Mytilus edulis: one gene and its partner. The protein of the gene in region 1 purifies or fractionates together with the protein of each later gene. This does not show direct contact. Links are inferred from orthologs where the notes say so. Each region holds a gene or a part of one and is shown on either strand. Other genes may lie near its edges.

The links. The genes of interacting proteins can lie anywhere in the genome.
Region 2: the proteins of transitional endoplasmic reticulum ATPase (region 1) and calnexin-like purify together in Homo sapiens (affinity purification with mass spectrometry; 4 studies listed by BioGRID, with this or other methods). This does not show direct contact. The link is inferred for Mytilus edulis from reciprocal best matches to the Homo sapiens genes VCP and CANX.

What each region holds. Positions count from the first base shown.
Region 1 is NC_092344.1:121,175,476-121,183,218, reverse strand, and holds the start of transitional endoplasmic reticulum ATPase, read left to right. Parts: upstream 1-4,734; 5' UTR 4,735-5,051; coding exon 5,052-5,068; intron 5,069-6,013; coding exon 6,014-6,116; intron 6,117-6,897; coding exon 6,898-7,070; intron 7,071-7,743. UniProt on the Homo sapiens protein: Necessary for the fragmentation of Golgi stacks during mitosis and for their reassembly after mitosis. Involved in the formation of the transitional endoplasmic reticulum (tER).
Region 2 is NC_092351.1:90,147,019-90,154,223, reverse strand, and holds the start of calnexin-like, read left to right. Parts: upstream 1-4,143; 5' UTR 4,144-4,234; intron 4,235-7,205. UniProt on the Homo sapiens protein: Calcium-binding protein that interacts with newly synthesized monoglucosylated glycoproteins in the endoplasmic reticulum. It may act in assisting protein assembly and/or in the retention within the ER of unassembled protein subunits.

The DNA.
Region 1 (7,743 bases):
GCTATGCCTAAAAACATACAGCTATAGCTAATGGCATCAAATCAATAAGCCATTTACTAAATAAAAAGATATTTATATAATCACATCTAACCAGAACACAGATAGTCAGGGGTATCCAAACTGGATTGTTCATGCAGAGTTCGGCATCTCATTCTGCTGACGGCAGAGTTTTAAAGACAAATGAGAAAGACTCCAAAGATGAGTGGTCTACTTAGTCTGCAATCAATACCATAACGTCAGTAGCGTATAAAATAATAGTAAACACTTCAAACCAGCCCAAATAACTTGAGAATATCGAAGTTCCACAAGATTATCCGTCATATTGTAGCCCCTGTAAATCCCATGGGGACCCCGAGACCCGTGTGGAGTTCGGGGTGCTCCTTGTCAAAGTCATATAGAAATCCCTGAAAGATGGTATCTATAAAATAAGGAAATAACAATCGAAATTAAATGGATGTAAGCAATAATAGACAACTCTATGGCCTTCGTTAATGAGAAAACCCCACGCCGAACAGTTGGCTATAAAGAGCCATGACATGAAAAATATGAAATAGTTCGATTGAGAAAACTAACGGCCTTATTCATAACAAAACAATTTATTGAAAACAAAAGACAGATGTGAACCAACAACAACCACTGAACTGCAAGCTTCTGACTGAAGACAGGCACATTTATATAAATAGAATGAGGAGGGATAAAAAAAAATCCATGACCTCTGTGGATAAAATTGAGAATAGATCTAAATGGAGAATGTACCAAAGAGACAACAATCCGTCCAAACAGCAGACAACAGACGAATAGAAGGGAACCAATAGGTATTCAATGCTGTGAGAAAATCCCGCATCCGATAGCCCGCTTCAGCTGGCCCCTAAATAAAAAACATAAAAATTATCTAAAATTGAAAAATCACACAAGACTACTAAAGGCCAAAAGCTTCTGGTTTTGGGACAGGCATGAAAATGCGGGTTAAACATCTTTTTGAGATCCCAACCCTCCCCTATACCTTCATAAGCAATGTAGAAAAAACAAACACACATACAGTAAACTTGGAATTGATAGTAAATAGCAAGTACAAGTTATTTTGAGCATATTTATATCAATATTATACAGTTAAAGGTGAGAATAATTGAAATTCGGCTGTTGTCTACTCTATGGTTTGGTTGTTGTCTCTTTGACACATTCCCCATTTCCATTCTCAATTTTATGCAAATAGTTTTACACCAACTTCAAAATTAAAATGACGTTTGTTAAAAAAAGTATCCATATATTGATTGATTTTTTTTTTTTTGGGGGGGGGACTATTTTAAATACTGTTTTAATATATACCTATATATGTGCTTGTAAATATCGGTTCAGGTCAAAATTTGGCTGTTTGTAATTTCTTTTCGGACGTCCGAGACAGAAGTTTTGTTATACATAGTTTTGAATATTCCATTAAAGAAAGGTAGGTCTGGTACATAGATAAAGATAAAGATATTTTTATTTCCTAATCATAGGGCTCATAACAAGCATGTAATCACATAAAGTAAAAATAAAAGGCCTTTCTCTTTCACTCGCATACACTCACACATACAACTCTCGTTCTGATTAAGGATTATTGATTTAACAGTACAATATGTAAATGAAAAATGAAATACAGTACAAATAAAGATACAAATATATTTTTATTTTTATTTGTTTTTATGAAGAGAGTCAGTTGCCTACATTGTATATATTTGGAACGAAGGATAACTCTTACTGCCCAGAAAGAAAGAAAACAATTCAAGTATAATGTGACAATGAACTGGTGAAGACTATAAATAAGTTTTATAAGTTTCAGTTAAGCAAATATTTAGTTTCTCAATGTGTAAAATGAGGATAGCAATTCACATAATTTAGAGTTAAAAAGAAGGCTATCGTTTGACATGAACCAAATAAGCAGATTACTATCGCCCGGGATATTTGGGATAAATATGGGTATTTTGTAAAGAGTACATCTCTAGAATTTATGATGATAAAATAAAGAAGTTTGTTTGTTTGTCATACATATGATATATTATATATTGACGCATAGCTAGTGCTCTAATAGTTTCCTCTGTACCGTACAGGGCGTACTGTTGAGATCATACTTTAAACAACGAAGTTGTCTTTTGTGAATTTCGGCATTTAGCAGAAGAGCTCACAGAGGTAGGTAAAACGATTCGCATGATGTCCTTTTAAGAAGTGACCATATTTAACTTCGAGTTTACATGTAGTGTGTTAAGCCTTTCTAGCAGTATTTGTAGGCCGTATGCAAGACCATTTGAGTCATGCACCTCTGTCTTTATTAGAGAATATAGCGTTCTCCTTGCTAAACTGATGCAGTCATTTATTCTGGTTTCATCTACTGTCGATCCTGTAAGTCTTATATGAGATGTACTGTCAGAACAATGTATTTCGTTGTTTCCAATTTTTAATACCTCGATATCCTCAGTTTGTTATGGTCTTATCCTGTCTTTAGTATGATGGTACTCATCTGTGGATTTCTGTTTTTATTAGAGATATCATTATGCTTTTCTTCTTCTATTTTGAATGTTTCTTTTTGTTACTTTATTTGGGTGTAAAGTGTTGACCGAAGTACATTTTGTATGAAGCGCGGAAGAGCTGCATTCTAAAAATGTGCGCACGGTGAACGCTTTTACGACTCTATGAAGTTGCAAAAAGAAGTATTCAAAACTTATAATAACATTTCTAGCTAGGATCATGAAAACACGATTTTTATCAAGTTTTTATTTTATTTACCTGTGCTCTTTATTGGGGGCTATAAAAGGCCCCGACTTTAAACATATGTAACAATTACCATATTGTAATGGATATTTTCCAGATTTTATCAGATTGGCTTAGTCCAAAAAATTAATAATCCACTAAAATGATCCGATAACTCTTACATGTCATCAGTGTATATTTGTTGTCGTCCGAAGACAAATTCGGTTTCCGGACAATAACTTAAGTTTAAATTATTGGATATCTATGAAACTTTACAAGAAGGTTCAATACCACAAAAGGAAGGTTGGGATTGATTTTAAGGTATATGTTACCAACAGTTAAGGAATAAGGGGCCAAAAACAAGCGGCGGTGATTTTTGTAGTTTGCGGACAATAACTTGTTTTTAAGTGTATGGATCTCTCTTAAATAGTACCACAAGGTTTCATATCACATAGGGAAGGCTGATATTGAGTTTTGGTGTAAATTAATTGCCCAGAACAAGCAGGAAAAAGGGCCAAAAAGGGACCAAAAACAAGCATTTTCTAGTTTCCAGACAATAACAGTAAACTTGTGTTAAGTGTATGGATGTCTCAACTTGAAATTGTAATACAAGGTTCCATACCACAAATAGAAGTTGGGATTGAGTTTGGGGTCATTTACTCAAAAGGAGTGTCAACAGTAGCGTGATTTGTTTTCCAATTTTTCAACCGGGGGGAGAGGGGGGGTCATATTTTTTCTCTCTCAAGTTTTCAAAATTTCAAATTTATTCAAAAGTTTCAAACTGGAGAAATCTTCAATAGCAGAGTATTACCCAATCGATTTTTAAGATCTTTTGACCACATTTATTTTCAGTGGCGGATCCAGGGGGAGGGTTCCGGGGGTTGGAACCCCCCCCCTTTTTTGGACGATCAATGCATATGAGTGGGGACATATAGTTGGACCCCCCTTTTTTGTCCGGGGTTGGGAACTCCCCTTTTTAAAATGGCTGGATCCGCCCCTGATTTTGTGTTGGAAATCTATAGGGGGTCTCATTGGGGGGTTCCGATCCCGGATCCCGCTTACTGTTTTGTCAGATTCCCGTATCCCGCTTACACTAGATAAGATAAGATAAGATAATTTTATTAACCAATCATGGTGCCCAAAATTTGAGCTATACAATCAAATGAATTACAAAATAAAGCACAGAAAATGATTAGAATGATTAAAGTACATTTAAACAACAAAACCACATGAATACACATTTACACTAATTAACCTGATATAAATCAAGTTATTGACAAAACATAGTTATGGGTGCCACTGTGACCTGGAGAAATTACATAAATCCTTATAGTTCTAGGTCTATGGGAGACAACTCCTGATCAATTTTATTTCCTATATATGTATATATCTATAAATATTTTTTTCTTCTATTTTTTTTTTCTTTTTCGAACAACAATATTTTCTATAATTTTCTTTCGTTCTTCAAAAAGGGAGTGCAATAAATTAGATAAGTTTGAAGTAACAAACAAATCTTCAGATGAAAGAATCCAAACAAATTTCATTTCATCAGATAATCTTGAAAAATTTTTGAATTTTGAATTTAAATTAGATAGATGTTGAGATACCTTTTAGAACAGGACATTTTAAAAGAAAATGTAGTTCGTCTTCAACTGCGTTCTTACATAGCTTACACTTTCTGTCTTCAGCTTTAATTCCAATATACCTCCCTCTTTCGATTTCAAGATCATGACAGCTAGTTCTAAATCTTGTGATTATTTGCCTGTCTTTTTTGAATTCATTTTTAAATATGGTTCAAACATAAAAATATTTTTAAATTTTCTGTAAGTTCTTAATTTATTACCAGATTGTAAATTAGTACACTTCCCAGAATTGCTTTGTACGTAAGCAATTCTCATGTTTTTGTCATTTCCCGTGTCCCGCTAGACCTCATTTCCCGTTTTCACGACACGCTTAGACCCCAATGAGACCCACTCTATATGATCCAAATTTAGACAACAAAGCTTGAATATTGTCAATGTGTCCCGGCAAACTTGACTGTTCACGGTTCGACTTCTGCGGTCGTATCACACTGTGCTCGGCGAAGCAATTAATTAACTTTGTGATATTTTTTTGTAAACGACTTACGTAAAAATAGACAATTTGATACGCTAAAGTCAATGTCACAGATATTGAGATAATCTTTGAATAAGTACACGGAATATTATCGATCCGTGTTAAACCGGATATTATACACTTTTTCCATACGTCGCCATTTTAACGCAGAAGAAACCGGCACGCACGCACTTGTAGAATTTGGTAGAATTTGAATTGAAAAGAAACAAATAATGGCTGACGGAGCAAAGTAAGTTTAATTAGTGATTTTCTTATGGGTTGGTTGTAAACTAAGAGGACTAGGAGCTATGTCAAACTCCAAAAACTGATTTGATTTTCGAAGTTTTTTTCTTCGATGCTCAAATTCACTTTGTCATTGTCTTTGTTCAAACGAAAAAATCCTAAAACTTGTGAAATATTTTTGGATATCTGAATCTAATGGAAGAAAAGTAATTAATTAAGAATTGTTTATGCTTTTTAAGCCAAAAGTAACTGTTATATAATTTTTTGACGAAAATATTTGATCATCATAATTTTTTTATCCCGGAAATTTATATTTGAAAAAATTTACAGTGTAAAGTCATGTCAGAACATATATATTTGAAATTGATATTCAAAGTTATTTTTATCATTTACATTTTTGTAATTTCCTTGAAATAAATAAACCGAAAATAAGTTCTATTTATAGAAATTAAGTCATTATGTTTATCCATTCTCTAAGCGTAACGTGTCATTGACATTGGTTGAGTTCATTTCATTATTTACATTCATGATATCAGGTTCAAAACTGCAATATCACTATGTATTATATAAAAAATAACCAAAGCTAAATTTTGCCATTTCAAACAATTAAGCAGAACCTGAAACACTAAAATGGACAGGTAAAGCTATACATGTCAAAAGTTTATAATTACTATTTACATTCAGATAACTAAGGTCAATTATAAAAAGTTTTAATTTTGAACTATGAAATGAATGGTGATGTTCAATTGTTTAAATTTCAACCTGACAGCAACCCATCAAAATTGAGATAAAAACATGTTGAAATAAAAATGTACATGTCACATGTATGCTTTCATGTTTTAATCTTTTAAAAAACAAAGTGTGAGATCTTACACAAATGTATATGTACCAAAAAGATTTTTAAATTCAAATGAACTACAATGTGTACATGTAAATAATTTTTGATTTGTAGTGAAGACTTGCAAACTGCCATCCTTAAACGTAAAGACAGACCTAACAGGCTCCTTGTTGAAGAAGCTATCAATGAAGATAATTCAGTTGTCTCCCTTTCACAGGTACAGTATCTTTTACTTTATTACATTATCAATAAATTAAAAACTCAAATTTGAGTGAAAGTTTGTGATTTGGAATTTTGAAGGTTCATCATGTGTGCCTTATCCTTCAGGTCCAGTAAAGTCATACATTTTGGAGTTCTTGTACAAAATCTGGATTAGGCATTGTGTTACCACTAATATTTGAATTGAAATTGGGCGAGTAAGAATAAAAAATATATCATTTTGTAAAGTTCGATTAATGTTCATATTGCAGTCTAAAAACAGATTTTTGAGAAGGGGATAGAGCTTTGTAAATGTTTTTAAGACGTTCCTTATACTCATGGTGTATGGGTCTTCCCCTTTATTATGCCCAGGGGTTTCATTATCTTTCATGTTGACTGGTACTTTCCATGTTTCTAGGTGGTACTTTTCAATTTATTCCATGAATATCTTATATAAAAATTCCTACATTTAGGCGGTACTTGTCAATAGCATAGGAAGGTAAAAGTACCGGGTACCGCCTCCTAATGAATGGCCTGTATGCCCTGTCTGCAGCAAAGAGGTCTGTTATAAACTTGAGCTAAAGCTTTTGGAATTTTTAATTACATGTAGATTATGTTGGCATGTACAAAACATGTAGAGATAATTTTTAAAGACCTGAAAGCAATTTTACAAGCCTAGCCTGCTGGGCCTGTGGTAAAGCGTGAAGACTATATTAAATGTCATCCTTGTCTGTACATGCATCCCAATATTGGTTTCCTAATTATTTGATTTGAAAATTAACTTGTGATTTTAATTACAGGGAAAAATGGATGAGTTGCAGTTATTCCGTGGTGACACAGTACTCCTTAAAGGAAAAAGACGAAGAGAAACTGTATGCATTGTCTTGTCTGATGACACATGCTCAGATGATAAAATCAGAATAAACAGATGTGTAAGGAACAATCTACGAGTGAGGATAGGAGACATAGTCAGGTTAGTTGATATGAATATTGGTTTATCACTAAGGATAGAGACTTACATTTGTAGTCAGATATAAAGGTTACAGAATTTTAGAAACAGTTGTACAAAAATAAAGTAATATGATTATGTTTTAGACCATTTTGGTGGGAGTTTTTCTGAAAACATGCCTATGAATACACAAGGGAATTTAACTGATATACATTTTCCTTCTTCTTTGTATGTCCTTGATGACAAGTAAATGTCACACTATATTTGACATTAGTTTGTTTGTTTTATGTATGATGTATTTGATATATACATGTATACATACATGTACACTGCAATGTCACATTATAAAAGACCGTCTTTTGATTTGAAATTTATTTGATCTATGTGTTATGTATATGTTTTTATACGACCGCAAAATTTGAAAAAATTTTCGTCGTATATTGCTATCACGTTGGCGTCGGCGTCGTCGTCGTCCGGCGTCCGAATACTTTTAGTTTTCGCACTCTAACTTTAGTAAAAGTGAATGGAAATCTATGAAATTTTAACACAAGGTTTATGACCACAAAAGGAAGGTTGGTATTGATTTTGGGAGTTTTGGTCCCAACATTTTAGGAATTAGGGGCCAAAAAGGGCCCAAATAAGCATTTTCTTGGTTTTCGCACTATAACTTTAGTTTAAGTTAATAGAAATCTATGAA
Region 2 (7,205 bases), on another chromosome or scaffold:
ACCCATTGTAATGGGTGGAACAACGGCAAAATCAGAAGGTGCAAAACAGAAACCAAAACGTGCCGAACAGAAATGGCTGACCTTTCTGACAATCATTTTGGCGTTTGTTACAGGCAGTCATTGCTTTTGACGGTGACACGTTCATTGGTATAGGGAAAATCAGGGTTTCAGTGTATAACACAATATTTGAACATCGAAAATGACGTAATCAATTCAACTTTCGAACTGCATTTTTTTTTTCAAACATTTAAGTAATGACAGAACTTTCTATTCATAAGTTTGTTTACAAAAAAATGCATAATTAAAAATGAAAATTGAAAAGAATAATCTAGTGTTGCGTTTCTAAAGCCGGTCAGTATACTAGAAAAATTATTTGATAAAAAAATGACGCCAATATATATATATAGCTTTTCATGTTCTAGAAGAGAAAAAGCTTATTTGACAGACACTGACGTCCACAGCTTTTTATCTTCTAGAAAATCTTATATGACGGACATAGCTGATATCAATTATAATAGCTTGTCCTATTCTACAAAAAAAATTAATGAAAAACCCTTCTATAAAAAAAAAAATTTAACGGACACTGACGTCAGTCACTATAGCTTTTGATTCGTCTTCTAGATAACTTATTTGACGGACACAGTTGACATCAATAGCTTTTAATCTTCAACAAAAAAAAAATGAAAAACACTTTCTACAAAAAATAAATATTTGACGAACACTGATGTCACTATAGCTTTTTTTATTTTACAAAAAGTTAACCTTATTCGACGAAGGCTGATGAGTTTTAGCATCTATACATACCTTTTTTACGGACACTTATGTAACTAGCTTTTTGTCTTCTATACATAACAGTATTTGACATACACTGACAACGTCAACCAGTTTTTATTCTTGTACAACTATGGCTTTTCATCTTCTAAAATAACTTATATGATAATCACTCAGTGGCGGATTCAGGGGAGGGTTCCGGAGGTTGGAACCCCCTTCTTTGGACGATCAATGCATTTGAATGGGGACATATAGTTGGACCCCCTTTTTAAAATGGCTTGATCAGCCCTTGCACTGACGTCAACAGAGGCGGATTTGGGGGGGGGGGGGGGGGGTGATCATATAGGGAATCACTGAAGCGTGACCGGAGCGGGTCCCGTCTTAGGCAGTCAGTGGGCCCCCACCTAGATCCGCCACTGGTCAATAGCTTTTCATCTTCTAGAAAAAACGTATTTGACAACCACGGACGTCATTATCATTTTATCTTCAAGAATAAATACTGATTTTACAGACACTGACGTCCACAGCTCTTCGTCTTCTAGAACATTGTATATGGCATACACTGACGTCGATAGCTTTATAATTTTTTTTACAAAAATTACAAAAACTTATTTGACATACACTGACGTCAATAGCTTTTCGTCTTCTAAAAAATCTTATATGACAGAAACTGACGTCAATAGCTGTTCATCTTCTAGGGGAAAAATAACTTATATTACACTGACGCGTGAGTAGCTTTTCATCTTCTAGAGAAAAAAATTATTGAACAAAAAATAACATGTTATATTCAGGTATATAGAAAACAAATCTGGGACAATTGCCTTTGTTGGTATACAGTAAACATTTCATGCCAGTTAAAAAATATCCAATGTGAATATTGGAAGAGGACTGGTGCTACAACGGGTCTGTCTACACTAGCGTAAAATAGAGTCGAAGATACCAGAGGGACATTCAAACTCATAAGTCGAAAATAAACTGACAACGCAATGCATGGCTAAAAAAGAAAAAAAGACAAACTGACAGACAATAGTACACTAAACACAACATAGAAATTAAAGACTGAGCAACACGAACCCCAACAGGTTGTCTCATTGGCACTCACACCACATCTGCCTTTATCTATATAAAGAGATAATCATAGGTGCTCTGGAAGCCGGTAAGCAGATCCTGCTCCACATGTGGCACCCGTCATGTTGATTATGTTAGTACACACGTTGTTATAAGTCTAATTCGGTATGTCACATTCTGGAAAATTGGACGGGGTGTAGCTACGACATTAGGAACATATATCCGCTGTCGGTTTCATAGATCTGTGAGAGGTATATACCATACATATACTGTCAACCATCTCAGTTCTGATGGCATCCGTAAAACTTACGCGGAGTTCCGAGTCCTAAATATATATGACTTAATTGTCAACAAATACTAAATACTCAAACATTTACTTGCCACTCGACTGGGTCTGTGTACACTACATTTTGAAATGACTTTATTATTATGTTGTATACCTCTTTCAGTGTCGATGTGGCATGCAGTATGTTGGCGAGACAGAGCAGCCATTCAACAAACGCATGAATGGTCATCGCAGTGACTACACTTGCAAGCCCGACCTACCCGTAAGTCGTCATTTGAGATGCACCAGCGTCTGTGGTTTCCGCTTAAATTGTATAAACTTTCAAGATTCTGAGTGTCTCAATTTGAATATATCATGACATGATTCATTTGACATCGTGCTATTACCGAAGAAGGATATCTGTTATCCGAAATATTTAATATTTGTTCATTTTATAGTTATTTAATGGTGATGTTGTACCCTTTTTGACTTGTTATATATCATATTTTGTAGTGTACAGAATCGTATTACATGTTCCATCGCCCTGTAAGATTAATCGTTGACTATTTATTCAGTCATTTTATATATATATATATATATATATATATATATATATACTATACTATAGATAATTTAGCTGATCTGTAAAAATAACATCTCCATGTCTTATATATCATGTACTGTAGCACGACGCTAGATTAAAACTGACGTGGAAAGGTAACACCCGGCCACCGAAAGCTTCATTTTTATGAAGCCCAGGCCTTGAAGTCATAAAACTTTGGTCAGTGCTCGGAGCACAAAAATCATGCTCGAAACCTGAAATCCAGCATTTTCAAAACTCTTTAAAACTCTATTTTGTTTTGAAACATAAATTAACCTAAAAGATTTTAGATTAAGGCAATTAATCTGTAAGATAAGAATTAGCGCTCATGGTAGTCATACAAATATTTACTTGGATTGTAATTTGAGACTGATCAGAGATTATATATGTAAAAAAATTGTGCCGTGAATCAGGAACATATATATTAGATATACTGTTCCCAGCGTGAATAGATTTGAATAGAACACTTTAATAAAAAATGTTTATAATGCATTACACCCTTTTTTGGCTGAATGCTCACTATACGTTGATAATAAAAATAAGTCTTTTGCTGAAATTCAGTTAAAATGCAATAATTTTCAATCTTTAGACAATCTCTTTTTAACTTTTCATATATTTACTATTAGTTAGTATAATTCAAGTAGTTTAATTTATACATTAGCGGCGCAGTATTTATCCAAAAATCTGGCAATAAGGAGAAGTTCAAAGATAATAATTGCAAATTAGCCACAAGTATAGAAATGTTTTAAAACTTGATATTTGAAAGTTATCAAAGGTACCAACATTATAATTTAATCGTGATGCCAGACGCGCGTTTCGTCTTCATAAGACCAGGGACTTTCTATACTAAGAAATAGTATAGAAAATCCCTGATAAGACTCATCAGTGACGCTCACATCAAAATAGTTATAAGGTCAAACAACTTGAATACCATATATGAGGGCCCTCATGGGGTTTTTGATTATGTGATTACTTGGCCGTTTTTTTAATGATTATTTGATTATTAAGCCAAATATTTCATGATTATTTGATTACCTAGGACTGTATTTTTAGTTTATGATTATTTGATTACTAAAGATAAGCAAATATTTAATGATTATGTGATTATATTGGCAAAAAAATGGTGATTATGTGATTCCTAGGACCCCCCCATGAGGGGCCTCATATATATACGAAGTTGAAGAGCATTGCATGAGGACCAAAAATTCCAAAAAATTGTGCCAAATACGACTAGAAGGTCTAGAATGTAATCTTTTCCTGGGGTAAGACAATATATGTCTGTTGCTGTTAATAACTAATTTTAAAAATCTACGGATTCTAGTCTGAGGTTCTAGTATTCAATTCAAATGCAATTTAAAAAAACGCGCTTTTTAACTTTTAAAGTATATAGTAGCCAATCAAAAATGTCGTTACAAATTTCCTTGATATAATTTCCATAACCAATCAAACATCTCCACGTTTATGAACTTCATCTGTTGACCGGCGTGAGGGATTTGGAACGCTTTTAACTTGGAACACCAGAATTACTGGTAAAATGTCTTATTATGATTCAAATTTGAAATACTTTGATACTTAATTCCCACGATCACTTCTGTTTGAAACACCAGCTCACTTGGAAAATGCCCAAAACCTTCATTATTTGTAAAGAAACGATTAAACCGAAAAAAGGGGGAGGACGAATAATCATGACATGCCTGATTTTTCAGATCATATGATCCAGTAACATTAGTCCCTAGTCAGTATTAAAACTTTAACACATTTACTAAAGCTCAGTCTTGCTTATTTTTATTTGGCCTGAATGATTTTTTTACAGCCCAATAGAAACTGCAAAAACTATGTCCCATAATTGCATAAAAAAAATCTCTATTTTAGTGACTGAGCGAATTGCAAGTATAAGGTTGCTGCAAGGGTTACCTTGAAGACTACAGAAGTCTTGACCAAGGATAAGATATTAGCTTCATATCTTACATACAGCATATATTGTCTATTGAAAGAGTAATGATAAAACTGAAAAAGGGGGTGGCTAACTGGCTAATTAATAGACCGAATTCGGTCTAGCTAATTAATGAAAAATAAAAGATATCAAACTGTTTATTGGTTGGTATCTAAATGCTGTATTCACCTATATGAGAGTATGAAGACCGTTAACCGTCAGTCTTTATTCTTGGAAACCAGCCATACCAAATGGCTTCTTTAGTCTTTAGTCTTTAGTAAGTGTCCCAAATGACACTGTAAACACTTGTGTACGTTTCCTCTTTTGTAGTTTCTTCACATATGTAATGTTCACTCATGTACTACAGGGCTCACACTACTTCAGAATTATAGGGAGAAGTGACTTCTCTTTTTGAAACTGATAGGGAGAAGTGGTGAGATTAGAAAGAGAAGTGCTCATTCGCGCTGTGCGATACAATGTTTGGATTTTACAATAGTATAAAGGGCCATATATGTAAATAATGTTCTTTTTATACTGTTCAATTCATATCTGAGTAAAAAAATTACAATTAAAGTAACATTTGAAATTAAAAGTAGTTTAAGCTTGTGAGAAACTACCAACTAAATATCTAGCACTAAAAAAATAAAAAATATTTAAAAAAATGTAAAGAAATTATAATATATCAATTACAATTTAATTAAAAATTATCTTGTGTATGACATTCAGTGTTTCTCATAAAAAAAATATAAAAGTTATTAAGCTGGGCCATAATATATTGATATTAGTATAATAGTCTCAGAGTTAAGTAACTTTAATCAATAGTTTGAAACAATCCATAAAAAATATAAGGAATTATATACACCAATCAATTAGATGTAACCAAAAGTCTCTTAATGCGTGTGGAATGCGTAATTTTTCCCTTTGGGATCAATATTCTTCTGTCAGCTGTTCCATCCGTGTGTCCGTAGTAATTATTGTAAAAGTACGGATTTCGGTCATAGCTGGTCCGGTTCAGATCCGTAGATTAGAAATCGGTCAATGGCGGCCGAATGCAAGAAAATTTACAAAAATAAACGATGTTTGACAAGTTATTTGGAAAGAAACATGACGTTTTTAATGCAATAAATGGATTAAAATTTACTGGAGGCAACTTTTATCACGTTTAAATGAAGTAACAAACTTATTTTGCCGCAGAAATTGAGGTTGATGTACGTTTTCGAGTAACAAGCACCGGTACTCGCAGAAATGCACGAAGTGATAAAAAGTTGTATTTTTATCAAATAACCTGCTACCCACTGCGAAGACAATGCTTCAAACTCTTTTCAAAAGATAATGAATCGTTTATGTCTGAAATTTTTTAATTATCAATAAAAATTTGATGTTTCATCAACTTGGTAAAAATTGAAAATGTCCGATGACGGAAGCGACTGAAAGCGACTGTCGTCAAGAACAGGGCGACTTGTTTTCGCTTTTGGGGGTCGAGGAAAGCGAAGTGACGGTCGGGAAGGCGACTTCTTCGCCCAAGTCGCCTGGTAGCGTGAGCCCTGCTAGATTGAAATGGTGGCTGCTGCTTAAAAAATTTTGACTTAATTTTGATATAGATTTATAGTGTTTTTTGCTGTATAGTGTTTTTGAATCTACCAGACTCCGTTAAATAATTTTCCAGATGGCACAATATCTCATTTCGATTGTCTCTATTAATGTCTTCTTCATCGATTCCTAATACGGTGTCTAAATCCATGTGTATATTTCCTGTAATAAAGTAAATAGATGTTCTCATCCTCTCTCTAGCCTCCTCATAGTTAGAACAATGTAAAAGGTAGTGTTCTACAGTTTCGGCTACTATTCTTGCCTTGGAAACCAGCCTTTCTGATCAAAATCATTGTTGCTTTTGTTTATATTAGGTAACAAGACTGTTAGGCAAGGAAACCAATCACCTCCATGTTTAATGCAATAATGGACAGTTTGGGACCAAGAGAAACCAGGCCAAAATAAAAAGATTGTATGTTTGCCCAAACGCGACCAACCCAAAATAAACCCGCCGACTCAAATTCTTTTTTGACGTTTTTTTGGAGAATTTTTTTTTTTCAGAATTTTTTTGGGTCCGCTCCGTCATCGTACAAAACTTAATGTTTGTCGTCTTTGCGTTTAAAAGTAGCTGTGAATAAGATTAAAAGAAAGCGTATAAGAGACACAGTTAATCGATATTCAATGTTCTCTGTTTTTATCTTCTGATTTAACAATGTTTAACGAACGTAAAACAGTAAAACATGTGAAGTGGCACAGTTTTTTTACGCTGTAGGTGTCTGTACTACCAAACCCTTTCCTATATACTCAATGTTAATTTCATCATGTTTATCGTAGAGTGGTTGTTTCGGACACAAATTAAGGCTTAGTAAATAAGAACGTCTGCTTGCAATGATACTTGTATTGAACTCTGAAAAGCTAACGTCACAACAACGGTGACGTCGTGTACATGGAGAGCGGTAGAGGGAACACCTCATGTGCAATTCTTAACATTCTGGGGGCCCGCAAATGAATTTAATTACAATAAAATGAAAATAAAT